Linked DNA regions of Tamandua tetradactyla. The protein of the gene in region 2 purifies or fractionates together with the protein of the main gene of each other region. This does not show direct contact. Links are inferred from orthologs where the notes say so. Each region holds a gene or a part of one and is shown on either strand. Other genes may lie near its edges. The genes, in order: ALKBH8 and TRMT112.

Region 1 (9,262 bases), on a different chromosome or scaffold from region 2:
GCATGGCACCCAGAAAACAGAAAAGTATTGAAACTATTATGTAACCCAGAAAAGCCACGTTCTAATCTTGATCCAATCTTGTGGGCCAGAACTATTGTTTAGGGTGGAACCTTTGATGAGATTGTTTTCGTGGAAATTGACCCACCCAATTGTGGTGTGATCTTTTGATTAGATTACTTCCATGGAGATTGGCACACCCAATTGTGTGTGTGGCCTTTTGATTAGATGGAGATGTTGCTCCACCCTTTCAAGGTGGGTCTTGGTTAGTTTACTGGAGTCCTTTAAAAGGGGAAACATTTTACAAATGCTTCAGAGCTGAAAGAGATGCCTGGAAACGTTGCTTCAGAGACAACAGAGACGCAGACATCTGAAGATGCTTGAAATACAAACAGAAATTTATTTGGAGATGAAGAGACCAGCAAACATCACCATGTGCCTTCACATGAGATGCTAAGCAAGTCAGAACCCAGAGCTGTGTGTCTGGAGGGGCTAAGTGAAGGGTCACAGATGCTTAGATAGGAGGCCATTGGAATCTGAACCTGGAAGCAATGGAACCAGGAATAAAGACCACCAGACACCAGCCACATGCATTCCCATGTGACAGACATCAGCCTTTCTTGAGTCAAGGTATCTTTCTCTGGATGCCTTAGTTTGGACATTTTTATGGCATTAGAACTGTAAACTTGTAACTTAATATATTCCCTTTTTAAAAGCCATTCCATTTCTGGTATATTGCATTCTGGCAGCATTTAACGAACTAAAACAGGTATAGCGGCCAGAACATAGGGGATTGTTCTGGAAGCAGGACTCGGCCTTAAAACCAGATCCAAAGTGGCTCGAACTGTCATATTTACTCCACCATCCACTTTTACCCTGATGACCTACTCCCCTAGTCAGATGTCAGGATATGGAACTAAAAATTATTTCTCCCCTTGAAGCTTTTTAAGTTGCTAAAAGTCTCTGGAGTGCCAGCAGAACAGAGAAACCCTGGTTGCCCAGCCTGTAGACTAAATACAGTCCAGCAGCTGCAAAAGACTTCGTTACTGTGGTCTGGGAGGCTCCAGAGCCTCAGGTATTGTCCCTTTTGAGGGTCACCAAATTGTTACCAAAGTGGTGGATTCTTTTGCTCTATGTGCCCAAATGACCTATTCCTGAGACACTGGGGTTTCAAGGAGAGAAAAAGTTTATTACTGGGCACTTAGCAGGAGATCAGATGCCTGTCAGCCCAAGAGCTGTCTCCCCAAACTGTAATTCTTATAGTTTTATAGCATTAAAAGATAGGTAGGCTTTAGGATAATAAGCACAATGGCCCCAGATGATGTAATTTGAGGTGACTTAATTATTGAGCATGTGCAGATTGATGGCATGCTTAGTCATAGAACATATGGAAGAAAATGGTGGCCTTATTATAATGATGGGTGTGATTCTTAGTATTACAATGAGTATTACAGGTGACTTACAGGTTAAAGTCTAAGCTACAGCACATGTCAGGTGGGCCCATTTTGGTTAGATCCAGACTCAGTTATCAAGATAACTTTGAACTTGGGGCGGATTAATTCTGGACTGACCTAGGACCCTTCATTAATCAGTATTAGGGGCTGTTTTTAGTTGTCAGAAGGCTCTAAAGTCCAAAGATTACATAAATGGATACAAATGAATTTTAGCCACAAGGGTTTTACAATTACAGGGCACAAGATGAAGGCTATACAATCATTATAAAAGATGAAGGTAGCTAGATTACAATGCAAAAAATTCAGGTAATTCCTTCTGTCTACTCTAATACACCAGAAAGCAAAAAGGAATATCTATACAATAATTCATTAATAAAATTATCCCTTGAATGCCAATTTCTTGGTTACAGTAAGATTTATTTCTGTCTTTACAGTCTTTTTAGTGCATTGCCCATGATGTGCATCACATTTTGGTTTAATGCTTATTCAATAATACAACTGTTCTTTCTCTTTTACCTTTTAGAGAGGTAGACGAAGGTTGGCAGGAGATTTTATTTTTAATTGTGTTTCCCTGACACCAGAAAGAAGAGGGTCCAGGGGTTGGCAAACTAGCCCATGGGCCAAATCCTGGAAGCATAAACTCTTACAACCAAGAATATTTTTTTACATTTTTAAAGGGTTGTAAAAACAAGCAAACACAGAAGACATGGACAACAACAAAAAACCCAAAGAAGAATGTGTGACAGAGACCACATATGGTGTATTAGGGTTCTCTAGAGAAACAGAACCAACAGGAGAGATCTGTAAATATGAGATCTGTAAAGGTGTCTCATGCAAACATGGCAATGGAAGAGTCCAAAATCCTTATGGCAGGCTGTGAAGCTGGTGGTTCCAATGAAGGATCTGGACAAATTCCACAGGAGAGGCTTGCTGGCTGAAGAAGCAGTGAAAGAGTCTCTCTTCTTCCTTAAAAGCCTTCAACTGATTACACTATATCATTGTGGGAGATACGCCTTAGTTGATCGTAAATGTAATTAGCCACAGCTGCAATCAACTGACTGCAATCAACCAGCCATGGAATATCCTTGCAGCAATGGTCAGGCCAATGCTTGCCTGACCAGGCATGTGGGCAAAATTACTTGGCCAATTTGACAGCAGAACCTAACCATCAAATATGGCAATGCTGACTCTTGCACTAGTTAACCAAGGGCTCAGGTATCATGGGTTTTACAAAGACAAGACACACTAGGTTCACAGTTAATACCATTGAAAAATTATTACAGGACCCTGTGCAAAATTTTTCACATGTGAAGATGAATTCTATCTTCAAATTAAATTTCTTTCCAGTTCAATATGTATTGAATTCCTATTATTACAAGCCTACGGAAGACAAGGGTTACAAAGTGAATAAGACAGGATCTTAACATAGCTGAAAATTCCTCCAGGGAGTCATCTTTGCTGGGAGCACTAGCCCGTGCAAAACTCCAAGCAAAAGACAAGGATCTGTATAAAAAGGATTATATGCAAAAGTTTTAATGTATCCACCTTTTTCTAAGGATATGGAGGAGGAGATGGGCAGCAGGTGTTTGGTAATGTGGGCCTGTACCTTAGGAGCAGAAGAGGAGAGAAGGAATAAATAACCATTTAATAGCTACTTTATGTATAGTATTTTATTTAATTATCACAGCAATTCCAAAAGGTAAATGCTGTTTTGTATTTTCTATTTCAGGTCACACTCCAATGCCCAAGTTCTTTCCACTAAACCAAACTGCCACCTAAAGGGTAGTCAGGACTAAACATATAGAAAGATTAGGGATTGATTCACAAACCTCTTTAAAATCCTGGGAGGCAGTTGGAAAGACTGTAGACTGAAAAAGGAGTCAAACAGAAAACATGAGGTATTGTCTGTGTTTATCTATAGCCATAAGGAGGGAAGATAGTAAAAAAGACTGAAAACAAGTAGTCAGAAGTAGGAGAGAGTGTTTTTACGAAGACTAACAAACTCAAAAGTTTCAAAAAGAAGTAGATTGAAAGTTTAAAAAGCTTCAGCATCTTCAAGTAGGATGGATACCTAAAGTAACAGAATTTGGCAACCAGAGATAACTGATGGTATTTTACAATGTTATCCAATTCAGTAGCCACTAGCCACGTGTGACTATTTAAACTTACATGAATTAATACTAAATAAAATTTTAAAAATTCAGATTCGGTTTTCTCAGTTTCACCAGCCATATTTCAAGTTCTCAATAGCTATTGGCTATTGTTATCATATTGGACAGCTTGGAGTATAAAACACCGGAGAAAATTCTTACTGAAATGTGCTGTGTTTGAAAGTATCCAGTAGCATTGAAAGACTGCAACAGTTTTCCCCTCATCCCTGTTCAGTAGGTTCCCATGTCTGGTTGAGTCCACCTCTCCAATTTGCTCTATCCTCTTCACTTTTGCTATTCAGTTTTGTCTCCATCCTCTCTTTCGTGGACTACTGCTATGGCTGCCTAATAGGCCTCCAAACTTCTGGCCTTTCTAATCTATTCTCCCCACAAATCAGTCCTCCTTTTAACTTTCTAGCCAGTACCAACCAGCCTTAACCTTTATTATTTGTCTCAGTGGGAGCGCGCTCGGGCGTGCGTGTGTGTGATCACTGTAGCAGCAGGGAGAACTCCCTGCTGGGAGAACTCCCCCCTCCCTTTCCAATTTCCCTTCCTTTGAACTCACAAAGCTCAAAATCTAATGCTAGTGGAATGACAATGCATTTATATCACACGAATAATCTTAGGGTAGGAACAATCACTATCATCACCCTCTCGTGCATTTTTATTTCCAATCTGTCGTCAAATCTTTTTCCTTTTAATCCGCCAATGGCGTGCCCTAGTTAACATTTCGTTACTTTTCACTTTACCATCGCAATAACCTGCTAAATAGTCTTCTTACTTCTAGCTTTTCCTTCCACCTTCCTCCAGAAATTCCATTTCCCGGGTCAGGTCACAACTCATCTCCCTCCTTCCCCAGAGATGCCATCTCTCAGACCCCAGGGGTCTCTCTCCCCATCTCTAAGATGTACAAAGAGCACAACGGAAGACAATTATTGAGGGATCAAGGTTGATGGGAAAAACAAACCTGTTTGACCCTGTTCATTTTGTAAGCTACCGATAAAAATATAATGAATTCCCAAGCATTACTATTTTTTTTCCAATAAAACGGCTGTAAATGAGAACATGACACCGGGCAAGGGCTCTTGGTCACGAAAGGTTCAAAAGAGTTCTGTGGGTGGCGAATGGGATTGTGGGAGCACGCTTCCTCACCCTGCTGATTCCTGGGAAATGTAGTGCAGTTTTTCTCCAACATGGCTGCGCCCAGGTGAGGCGGAGTGTGAGAATTCCCCGCGTCTTTCTACCACTAACATAAAGATGCTGGCGACTGCGAGAGTATCCGCGGGTGAGAACCCGGCATGGTGAATACGGAGATTTGTGGTACTTTTTCATGGCTGGCGCGATGGAGCCGTAAGTCACCGCTTCCTCTGTCAGCGTCTTCCGGACTGTTGTGCTTTGCCGGCTTGAGGATGAGAATATAATGAGGGAAGGAATGGCCCCCGGGACTCTCTCTCTTGCGGTCCGTGGAAGGTAGTTTGCCAGCACTGGGTGGTCCTATAACTGTTTGAGATACACATGGTTGGGTACTGTGCGGCTGCTCACTGTGAATCTTTTTCTTTGAGGTTGGGAACGGACTGTTGCATCCTGGGGCGTGTTAGTCGGTCGCTTATGGGGCTCATCTGACCGGTGTCAATCCAGTGAAGCAAGGGCATCACTGTTGGCCAGATCGCCCACAGCTGAGTCTTCCAGTGCTCTTACTTGAGTAATTCCTTCAACCATTGGGCCCCTAGTGTGTCAACCTCTGCTACTAATTGATTTCATTTGACGAACATGTATTGAGTGCTTGCTGTTCACCAGGTACTCTGTTAGGGGTTAGAGGTTGTATTTTCTCTCAGGTCTTTGCTTTCAAGTAGATGACAGCCTTCTGGGGGAGACCAACACACAAGCAGGTAATTATAATACAGTGTGAGTACTATAGAGTTAGAGATACACATCCCTTAATTAATGAAACCATTGAGGAGTGTTGCCAAAATAATTTTGGAGGAGGAAGGGCTTAGGAGGTAAGATGGTGAGTTCAAATTTGGCATATTCAATAAAAGTTGTTGAGTGACTACGAGGTCCAAGAACCTGTGTGGGTGCTGGGGCTACAAAATGAACAATACAGACAAAATCCCCTCGTGGAGCTTATTGTCTGGTTAGAGGGGGAAGGTAGAGAATAAACAAATAATGAGGGCGTAAGAAAATACATAGCATTCTTTAGAGAGTTCTTTAGAGAGTTTAAAAACAGGGTGACATGACAAGTGATGGGGTGAATGTTTTCTCATCATTTAAAACATTTTTCTTTTTAAATAGGTAATGCATTTTGAATAGCTACTAAATTCAAAAGTTAAAAGAGGAAATTCTTTCGTTCCTGTTCTCCATCCACCTATTGTGTCTCCCTCGAGACAGCCCATATTACCAATTTCTTGCGTGACTTAGTTTCCCTTTATATAGCTTTATATGAATATGTGCTGTTATTTATAATCAGGCCTCATTTGATAGGAATTTAGGTTCTTTCTGATCTTTGCTATTAAATATAATTTACATATAAACACAGGAACATTTGTTTCACCTATTCGCCTATACTACTTGGTTCATAGTAGGCTTTCCGTTGGTGTGGAGAATGTGGATGTGCAAACTACTGTTGCCTTTCAGGGCAATATTCAAAATATTCCATAGAATTTATTAAACTTAGCAAGCAAGTAGCAAAGCATGCATGATCCCCAAACTCTCATAACGTCACAGAGAATATGCTTAGGCTGGACATGGCTATTATGGACTCAGCATGGCTAGTATTTTAGTAAATAGTGATCTCACTCCCATAACATACCCTAACACTCTATTACATGACAAATAACATCTAATCATTTGTGCAACAGTAGAAACTCCCTGGTCGGGGACGCCACCTTTTTAGAAAGGGAAATCCTCCAGACCTCAAGCTGGTGTCAGCCTGTTCCTTTGTTGAGGTGACTCAGACCTGCCAGGCCAGTGCATTTCCAAGTCACTGATTGGGGAAGAAATGAGCCTCCAAGTGAAATTTGGATTTGTCTTTCTTCACATGCAGCTCCATCTGCTGGTAGTTGGATTCTTGGCAGCGGGCTTTTAAAAGATGTATTCATCATTTTTCCATTCTCATTTCCACTTTGCAGTTACTGCTCTTGTGAAATATTAAGAAAAAATTCCATAGTGTATTTATCTCTCGCTCTCCAAAATATACTGCAAAATTGCCTTTCCAAAGAAGATGATCTTGGAATTGGATGACTATAAAATAGCTCCTTTGAAGGCCCTCAGTTTTTTCTTTTTTTTTCCTTAACCATTTGGATCTGGCTCTTCTGGAAATTAACAGTAATATATTAATAGATGTATTTATTCCTAATAAAGCTATGAGGTAGGCACTATTATTGTTATCCCTGTTTTACATATGAAGAAACTGAAGCACTAAGATGTTAAGTAACTAACTCATCAGGATATACAGCTAATAGTGGTGGATCTGAGATTTGAACCTAGAGTCTGAACTCGTAAACACTGTTATAATATCTCATAGTACTGAATGAGGCTCTGGGGAAACAAAGAAAAATGTTATTTAATCCCTGTCATCAAGGAGGTCATGATCCGGTGGAAAGGAACAGACATTAGAACAAATTATTATAATTAGTCCATTGTTAGAAATATCCATTCGTTTGTCCTCTTCCTGTCTAATCATTCTTAAAGCCTTTCTAACTTCAATTCCCCTCCTGAGAGCCACTTCATATTGTCAACTGCCAACCAGATATTGCAACTGTATACCTGGTCAGTATCTCCAACATGTTATATCTTAAATCTGACCTAACCTCCCTTTCAGAATAGCTCTTCCTGTCTTTCCAGTTTAAAAATGACATCAACTAATCTCTGTCATTCAGGCTCCAACCTAGAAAGTCATCTTTGGTTGCTCTCTTCCTCACTTCTGAGTAGTCATCAAGGCCTATTTATTCTACTTTACCACTTCCCCTCCCTCTACGGTTTCTTTTTTTCCTGCTGCTTCTCCCTTGGATCTGGCCTGCATTTTTGCTTGCCAAGTCGTATTATTGCAGTTCCCCTTACCTCTCGTCTGCCTACTATGCTTTTCAGCTAGCCTACTTTACCAGCTCTATTTCTTATCACTTGCACCCTGTGTGTTAGTTAAGCTAGGCAGCTGGCTGTTCTTTCAATAGGCTTGGCATTTTTTTTCTGTAAAGATTTGTAATTAGAGTTTTATCTGTGAACTGTTTTAGACTGTGATTTTGTTTAACCCTCTAAATTTATTTTGTTTGTTAACCCTAAAGACTTTGAAGTATATAGAGATTGGGTCAGCAAACATTCTCTGCTCTAAAAAATTATACCTACCCCTTACAATCTTTGCCATACATCCAATCCTGGTTTGGGCTTCTGCTTTTTATTGCCTCACTAGATACCTTCCCTTTCATATGACTCTATATTCTTATCTTTTAGTACTCAGCCCAAGTCCCTTTAAGTTTTGAAATCTTTCTAAACTTTTCCAGTTAATAATAATCTTATTTTTTGTTTTTAATTCCTCACACCTAAAGACTTTATCATTAACATTTCATTTTATAAACTTGTGTCATATTCTTATACCTTGTTTAATGTTTGTTTTCTTCAACTAAGTTAAAAAGTTGTTGAAAGCATAAACTTGTCTTATAGTTGTAATCTGCAGAATTTTGAAACCATAATAGGCATGTGTGTATTCACTCGTTTGTCATTCATTTATCCTTTTAAATATATTTGGATTAAACACCTACAGTGTGCTGGTGTTCCTCTTCTCTTGGAATTTGCATCTTGATGGGAGAATAAACCTGGTAATTGAATCATCACAAATTGTGTTAAATTCAGTGAACAAAATAAAATCTATTGTGACAAAGAATGATGTAAGGATGCTGGTTTGAATGGGGTGGTTAAGAAGACGACGTCCTTGGGAAACCACTCAGTAACTACTTGTTCATTTAAATATTCCAGTTAAGTGAAAATAATTCTATGGGGCTTTTATTTCTGCTATTTTCTAAATTATAGAAAAAGTAATAAAACAGACTCCAATACCTACCATCTAGCTTAATACCTTTGGTGTTTCTATGTGTCCCTTTCATATTATATTCCTTTTTCTTCTCCACAGAAATTTTATGTTTATAATTTCCTTGCTTTTCTTTTTAGTTGTACTGTTTATGTATGTATAACAATATATGGCTTACTTTTGGATAATGTTGAACTTTGTGTAGATGAAATATACTGTATATTCTGTGAATTGTTTTTTGTTTTATTTATTTATTTATTTAGCATAACATTATATTTGTGAAATCCTCTGTGGAATGTTTTACCTGCTATTTCATAAGTAAAGAGATGCAAGTTTTATGGGTGAAACAGCTCACTTAATAATGGAACTAAAGTATTGGAAAGTTTTTTAGTACCCTTCAAGATACTGCTAGATGCATCTGTTTGTTCTCATTTCTGTTGAAAAAGGAAAACTAGGCATTTTTTGAATTGTCACATAGATATATTTATAAACTCTAAAATGTGTCAATGGCATCATTATAATTGTTTCTTCAGAACTTTTGACATTGGTATATTTTACTCTTTGTTTTTGCAGTGTTGGTATGGATAGCAGTCACCAAAGTAATTACAAGCTAAATAAAACCGAGAAGAAGTTCTTAAGGA
Region 2 (7,837 bases):
TGAGAGTCTGGAGCAGGCACTGATAGGTCTCTCCATTGGGCCCTCTGGTCTTTAACTCTGATAGCACAGCCCGTTCTGCAGATAAAGGAAACTGCAGCTCAGGGAACAGTGACTTCCTGAAGGTCACGAAGTAAGCCAAGGGCAAGGCCAAGAATCTGAGCCTTAGTACTGTGCTCACTTGGAAGGGAGTACAGTTTAGTGGGAGGTGAAGTGGGGAGGACTGGAGGCAGCTATAGGTGAGGACAGATGGCCCCTGCTCTTTCTGGAGATGGTGCAAGTCAACAGTTCTCTCCCCTCTGCTTACAGACTCTGTGCACATCGAGGACGCTGAGGCTGTGGAGCAGCTGCGAGAAGCCCTGCATGAGGCCCTGCTGGAGTATGAAGCTGGCCGGGCAGGCCCTGGAGGGGGTGCTGAGCGGCGACGGGCAGGCAGACTGCTGCTCACCCTACCGCTCCTTCGCCAGACCGCGGGCAAAGTGCTGGCCCATTTCTATGGGGTGAAGCTGGAGGGCAAGGTGCCCATGCACAAGCTGTTCTTGGAGATGCTCGAGGCCATGATGGACTGAGGCAGGGGGAGGGTGTGGGTGGGTGGGGGTGCTGGCAGGACCCGCCCAGCATGGGTTCAACCCCAAGGGGGCAGAGCTGGGGTCTGGGCAGTGCCACAGCCTGCTGGCAGGGCCAGGGCAATGCCATCAGCCCCTGGGAGCAGGCCCCACGCCCTCCCCTCCCCACTCCCAGGGGGCGTCAGAAGCTGGGGATGTGTGTGCCCGGGCTCTGGGCACAGTGCTGCCCCTTGCAAGCCATAATGTGCCCCCAGACTGTCGGGGGCCTTGCGGAAGCCATAGGGGGTGCAGGGGAATTGTGGGGGGCAGAAGCCTGATCTCAGGGAGGGAAGGGGGTGGAGGCCACAGTCTCCCAGTGGGTGATGCTTTTGCTGCTACTTAATCCAACCCCCTCTACAGAGCAGAGTGGGACTTGGAGAGCAAAGGCCCCTGCCCCCTTCGCTCCTCTCCTCATCATTTGCGTTGGGCACTGTTGCCCACCCCCCTTGAAGCAATAACTCCAAGCAGGCTCCAGCCCCTGGACCCCCTAGGGTGGCCAGGGTCCCCCATCAGCTCCCACCCAGCCTCCTCAGGGGGAGGGAGAGCACTGCCTCGATGCCCTGCAGAGCAATAACACTATATTTATTTTTGGGTTTGGCCAGGGAGGCGCAGGGACATGGGGCAAGCCAGGGCCCAGTGCCCTTGGCTGTACAGAGACTCTATTTTAATGTATATTTGCTGCAAAGAGAAACCGCTTTTGGTTTTGAACCTTTAATGAGAAAAAATATATATAATATCAAGCTCAAGAACACAGTGTGTTCAGTGTGTCATTGGGTCGAGGGCTGGACATGAACATGACAGTTAACAATGTACAGACATAAAGAATGTCACAGAATGATCAGCTGGTCCGTGCCTGGCATGGCTAGGTCTAGGTTTCCTCCTCACTCAGCAGCATGTTGGGGATCCCGCGACTGATGGGGAACAGACGTCCAGATTCTGGGCATTGCAGAGTGCCCTCCAACACATCCACCTGTGGGCAGAGGGAAAACAGCTGAACACCTGGGCCCTAAGGGAGGGGTGGCATGGCCGGGAAAGCAAAGTGTGAGCCGGTTCTCACCTCTAGCAACACGTGGTGCATCTTCCTCAAAAATGTCTCATCTCGCTCATACCCCTCAACTGGTCCCTTGGGCACCTCGACCAGATGCAACTGTGGGCAAGAAGCCTAAATCATCTCCGGCCATCCCCGACCCTCCCCATCAGGCCGAGCTCCCGGGCCGGGTGTGAGAGGGTGCGGTGAGACCACCTCCCCCGCTAGGCACAGGCGGGGTGGGGGGAGGGTCCTCACAGTATCGGCCGCCTCCAGAAGCGCTGCCCACTCCACCTTGGGTATCATACGCGCTACGAAGTCCGGGTTGAACTCCACCGGGTTGATGCGGACCTCGGTGGCCTGCAGTGGGAAGAGATTAGTTAGAAAGGGGATCGGACTCTGATATCCGCAGCTCACCCGGGAGAGGGGCGTGGGTCTGCGCGGATCGGTACCTGGAGACGCAGGGGGAAGCCACGGGGCCCCACCCCCCGCACGTGAGAGCTTAGCAGGTTGTGAGTGAGCAGCTTCATGTCGCGGCTAAACGTCCTACCCAGGCAGGAACCGGAAATATACCGCCCCGCCAAAACGTCACTTCCGGGACGGTGCCGCTAGCTAGCCTATCGGGCGGCCAAAAGACCGGAAGCAGCGAAACTGCTGTCAGGGCTCGTGCTCGGCCAAGCAGAGACATAGGGAAGACCTGGTTCAGTCACGCGCTGCTCCCGGAAGCGGCTCCGCGGGAGATCGTTATGTCGCACGCCGCCTAGTGGTTTGGTTGAAGCCAAACCTTCACCCGCTATCGGGATGCAAATTATATGTAAAACAGCTGCAGTGCAGGGAACCTCGTTAAATGTCAGATAGACATGCGTTTTGCTTGTGCACGGGCTCCTGACACCAGCCCTCCCCTTCTAATGAGGTGCGCTATTGCCCCAACTATAAATGAGGCCCCTCAAAATAAAGCGGCACCCCATCCTTGTCTGCAAAGAACCTGCAGGATCGTCGCGAGCTACGCCCACTGAGAGGGGGAGAAGGTATCAGCGACCCAGCCCCTAATGCAAACAAGCCCTGAATCCCGGAAGCCCGGCCCGCAGCGCGGCCGTCCACGCCTGCGCAGTGAGGGCGTTTCGCTGGGGGCCGGGCGCGGCCGAGGCTCCGCCTTCTGCGGCCGGCGCGGCTCCGCCCCCGCCGGGGTCGAAGGGGCGGTCGCGGCCGTGGCGCCCGGCGAGTGGCTGCGTATGCTGCGCCTTGTGGGGCGCCGCGCGAACTCCGCGCTCCCTCGGGCGACCGCCGTCGAGTTTACCCGAGCGGTAGCGGTGGGAACGGGCCTACGCCTGGAAGGAGGAGGAGGGTGCACGTGCGGTTTCAGCAGCGCCGCCGCAGCCATGGCGCCGATTAAGGTGACCGTCGGCCCCGTCAGACCTGACCCCCCCATCTTCCCGAGGCCGTCCCTCGTCCCGCTCCGGTGGGGAAGGTGGGGTCCTCTCTCCCGCCCTCCGGAGCCCTCTCCGCCGCCCCAGAGGTCCCTCCCGCGGTCCAGCCCCTTCACCCCCTCATCGAGACACCCGTGACTGCCACCCCCTCTCGCCAAGTTTTGGGACCTCGTGCAGGATCTCCTGGAACAGCCTCCGGGCTCTGGACCCTCCCCCCTCGATTCCCGCTGCGTGTCGACTGCGACACTGCTGTGGTCTCCGCCATTTTCCGCTGTTTGAATGCCGTGGCCTTTCCCACCTTCTGGAAACCAACCATCTCCGTTGCCCCAGAACCCTCTTTACCCCGCCGCGCCACCCTCCCCTCCCTTTTGTCATATTGCTTGGATCACTCTTAATCGTATGGAACAGCTGTCAGCCCTTTGAGCCCTCGTTTTGTCTCCCCATGCCACTCCGATTTCCCCTCCTCCTCCTCCCGAGGCGATCCCCCACACTTCAGTTGAGTCTCTCCTCCCGCCCATCTTCTGGAGCTGTCCCCCACTCCTTGGAACTCAACCCCCTCTTCCCCTCCCACACCCTTCCGAGGCCCTTCGCCTTGTTTCACCATCCTCCAACCTACTGAGAGATCCTCCATCTCTCAGCCTCCCTTCCTCCTATCTTTACCTCCTCCATCCCCATGGAGCCCTCTCACATTCCCAGATGCACTGATCCCTCCCCCTTAAGAGATTCCTTTCATTTTACCCCCCTTGCATAGGGCCGGGATCTTCCCCTTCCCACCTTGTTACTGCCCTCCTGCCTTCCTTCCTTTTCTCCATGGCTGGCCAGGATCCATGCTTTCCCTGTTGTCCAGTATTCCTTCCAACCCAACAACCCCCTTCCCCCCTGCTTCTCCTCCCCTTGCGGGTTTGGCCCCACTCTTCTCCCATAACCCTTACAACTTGTTGACTCAATCCCTTGCGACACCGTGCAAGGCCTTCTCTCCCTTTCTTTGGTGTCACCAATGGATCCTTATGAGGGGACAGGGCCTCACTGACCCCTGGAGGATATGGGGCAACCAGGCGGGTGAGAGTCGGGGGGAAGGGGAGGGCAGCAGGGAGGGACCTCTGGAAACTCTGACAGGGCTGGACTTTTTTTCCCCCCGGGCTCTGCCAAGCACAGCCACCAGACCTCCCCCCATTCCCTCCTGGCTCTGGTTTGCTGCTGTCCCTCCTTGGGCCTCCCCCCACCTCTCAACTCCTAACCTTGGAGCCCTTCCCTCTAGGTGGGCGATGCCATCCCACCGGTGGAGGTGTTTGAAGGGGAGCCTGGGAACAAGGTGAACCTGGCGGAGCTGTACAGAGGCAAGAAGGGAGTGCTGTTTGGAGTCCCCGGGGCATTTACCCCGGGCTGCTCCAAGGTGAGGCCCTGCCCTTCTTGAGATTAGGAATCTGGATCTTTTGAAAATGTTTGCATTGCTTTTAAGTCCTTCACATATCCCTCCAAAGGCCTGAGGCGGCTTGCCACCAAGGAACCTAGGTAGCCTGAGAGTAAAAAAAAGCTATGTTTAGAGTGTTCAGAAAGTAAGTGGAGGCTGCAGAAAGGTAACCACAAGGAATGTAGGAGAAAGGAATTATTGTGATTAAGCTCAATACCCCCTTGTTGACCCTGCTGAGTGGCAGGTACTCTGAAAGGCAAATAATCCAGGTAAATAATCCATGTTTCTATGACTCCCAGGGGTGTGGACCTTCCTGGCAACGTGACACAGAAATCCCAGAATGAGCTGGAACTCAGCATCAAGGGACTGAGAAAATCTTCTCAACCAAAAGGGGGAAGAGTGAAATGAGACAAAATAAAGTGTCAATGGCTGAGAGATTCCAAACAGAGTTGAGAGGTTATCCTGGAGGTTATTCTTGCATTAAGTAGATATCACCTTGTTATCCAAGATGTAACAGAGAGGCTGGAGGAACCTGCCTGAAAATGTAGAGCTGTGTTCCAGTAGCCATGTTTCTTGAGGATGATTGTATAATGATATAGCTTTCGCAATGTGACTGTGTGATTGTGAAAACCTTTATCTGATGCTCCGTTTATCTAACTTATCAACAGAAGAGTAAAAAACATGTGGAATAAAGATAAGTAATAGGGGGAACAAATGTTAAAATAAATTTAGATTGAAATGCTAGTGATCAGTGAAAGGGAGGGGTAAGGGGTATGGTATGTATGATTTTTTTTCTGTTGCCTTTTTATTTCTTTTTCTGAATTAATGCAGATGTTCTAAGAAATGATCATGATGATGAATATGCAACTATGTGATGATATTGTGAATTACTGATTATATATGTAGAATGGAATAATCATAAATTAAGAACGTTTGCATTTGTTTGTTGTTACATATATTTTTTTAAATTAAAAAATTGAAAAAAAAATCCGTGGTCCTGACCCCACAACCTTAAGTTTGGATCTGAGCTTCCTTGTGGCCAAGGCAAACAAGGAAATAGGTTGGTTTACATAGTTTTCGTTGATTAAAGGAGTCAAAGCAGGGAAGTTAGGGGGGCCTGAAGATCATTCCTTGTTGACCCTTAGTTTCTCCTCCCCAGACGCACCTGCCGGGGTTTGTGGAGCAGGCTGGGGCTATGAAGGCCAAGGGCATCCAAGTGGTGGCATGTCTGAGTGTCAATGATGTCTTTGTGACTGGCGAGTGGGGGCGAGCCCACAACGTGGATGGCAAGGTAAGGTGCAGGGGTCCTGAAGGGGCTCAGGGCCCAAGCAGGAGATTTTTCTGGTGACCTTTATTTTCTGTCTCCCCAGGTTCGTCTCCTGGCTGACCCTTCTGGGGCCTTTGGGAAGGTGAGTACACGCCGTCCCCCCACTACAGCGTGGTTCCTCTGCCAGGTCTTGGAAGCAGAGATTTGGAGGGACTTGACCAGTGTGGGGAGCAGCCCCCTTGGGGCTTCCTGATCCTTTTCTCTATCTTCCCTCCCAGGAGACGGATTTGTTACTAGATGATACGTTGGTGCCACTCTTTGGGAATCGTCGGCTCAAGAGGTAAAAGTGAGAGGGTGTTCTGTGGGGTTCATTGGGGCCCTCTCCTCCTATTCCGGTCTCTGGGCCTGACTTTTTTGGCCTCCCTTCCGGCAGGTTCTCCATGGTGATAGAGGATGGCGTGGTGAAGGTCCTAAACGTGGAGCCGGATGGCACAGGCCTCACCTGCAGCCTGGCCCCCAATATCCTCTCGCAGCTCTGAGGCCCCCCCGGCCCAGATACACCCTCTTTACCCTTTCCTTGACTTATCTACTTAGCTGCAGCTGGGGCTACCCAATTGGAACCTTGGCCAGATTTGTGCAATAAACACTTCTGGGTCACATCCACTTCCTTGTTTTTGAATCTCTGCTGTACTGAGAGCCTGACTTCATGACTACAATTGAGAGCTGGAATGACAGTGGGCAGGTGTGGAAGGAGAAAACAACTGGATTCCCATTTAAATAAGGAGGTTGTCAGGGAAAGCCTCTGAAAGAAGGTGTTACGAAGCATCGATCTAGAAGCTAAAAAAGAGCCAGTGGTCCGAAAAGCAAGGGCAGGAACGTTCCATGCAGAGAGAAGCCACAGGGAAAGGCTTGTGTGCATAAGTTGGGTGCACACCCTTAACGTTGGATGTGCATCTCAGGGTGCTCGCTGGTGTCATTTGGGTCTATAAACTGTAGGGAAAGAACCTCAGCTCTGGGTCTCCCATCTGGGCCGAGCCCCACCCCGCCAACCTTTCAGACTGTTACATACCTTCTGAAAGCACCGTCTTTCCAGGAGGGGCCCCTTGCACTCTGGGAGAGTGACTGACAGGAAGGATTCCTTCTTGGAGGCAGGGCTCGTCCAGTCCAGGAGGGCTCCCTGGGAGAGGAATCTGGAGGTGAGCTGTGCAAGAGTGGAGATGCTCATGGGGCGGGCCCAGTGCTCACAGGGAGGGGCCGGGGCTCCTCCGCAGGTACTGTATGGAGAGCTGGGCAGATGGTAGGAATGCAGCTCCAGGTAGAGGGCGCAGCGTGGATGTAGGCGTGTGAGCTGGGAGGAGAGAGGCTGCTGGAGGTCAGCGGGACCCTTCAGGCCCTGGTAAGCGGCTTGCCTTTCATCCTTAGGGCGCCTGAGGCTACTGAAGGGTCTTAAGCTGGGCAATGGCAGGTCCAGTTGGCACTTAGCCTGACATTGGATGCAGTGTTGGGGTGGTCTGAGCTGGGAGGTGGGGAGAGGTATGAAGTGGGCAGCGTAGGGAAGGTGTGACAAAATGAGGGCACCAGGATTTAGAGGTCTTTAGGATGTGAGAGTCCAGGAGCCACCTGGGTGGGGGCCCAAGGGGCTGAGGGGGGGGGGGTCAGAGCACTCAGGAGGAGGGTGGGTCGGCTTCCCTTTTGGGGGTCCCAGGTGCTCAGTGTGCCCGTGTCGTCCCACCCACTGACCTGTGTCCCTCTCACCCCCTGCTGTCTTCCAGGTGCCCTTGACCTGGGCAGGGCAGCTCCCTGTGCCTTTCTAACCTGCCCACCTCTCTTCCTCTGCCAACCCCCCAGTTGCTGAGTTCCTTCCGCCTTTTCCCTGCAGGCCTCCCCGTTACCAGAGGATGTCCAGTCCCCATCTCTGCCACCCAGCCACCCCCGTTTCCTCTATTCCTGGGCTCTGTGCAGGCTGGCTGCCACCCAGCAAGGCCTCTGAGCTGAAGTGTTCGCCTCCAGGTCGTGGTGCCATTGGCTAGGCCTCTGGACCAAGAGGAGAAGGGTAGGAGGAGACTTCTAGGGCCTCGGGGACCTCCTAGGACAACCCAGTGG

What was found.
Region 1: the proteins of TRMT112 (region 2) and ALKBH8 purify together in Homo sapiens (co-immunoprecipitation; 3 studies listed by IntAct, with this or other methods). This does not show direct contact. The link is inferred for Tamandua tetradactyla from reciprocal best matches to the Homo sapiens genes TRMT112 and ALKBH8.

Annotation. Positions count from the first base shown.
Region 1 is NC_135334.1:34,346,423-34,355,684, forward strand, and holds the start of ALKBH8 (tRNA (carboxymethyluridine(34)-5-O)-methyltransferase ALKBH8), read left to right. Parts: upstream 1-4,980; 5' UTR 4,981-5,021; coding exon 5,022-5,071; intron 5,072-5,084; exon of another isoform or gene 5,085-5,490; intron 5,491-9,194; coding exon 9,195-9,262.
Region 2 is NC_135335.1:10,337,119-10,344,955, reverse strand, and holds TRMT112 (multifunctional methyltransferase subunit TRM112-like protein), read right to left. Parts: upstream 2,216-7,837; 5' UTR 2,160-2,215; coding exon 2,082-2,159; intron 1,990-2,081; coding exon 1,888-1,989; intron 1,750-1,887; coding exon 1,660-1,749; intron 1,573-1,659; coding exon 1,471-1,572; 3' UTR 1,298-1,470; downstream 1-1,297. Other genes in the region: ESRRA (steroid hormone receptor ERR1), read left to right, coding at 307-566; PRDX5 (peroxiredoxin-5, mitochondrial), read left to right, coding at 2,862-3,023, 4,315-4,449, 5,627-5,758, 5,838-5,876, 6,013-6,074, 6,168-6,273. UniProt on the Homo sapiens protein: Acts as an activator of both rRNA/tRNA and protein methyltransferases. Together with methyltransferase BUD23, methylates the N(7) position of a guanine in 18S rRNA.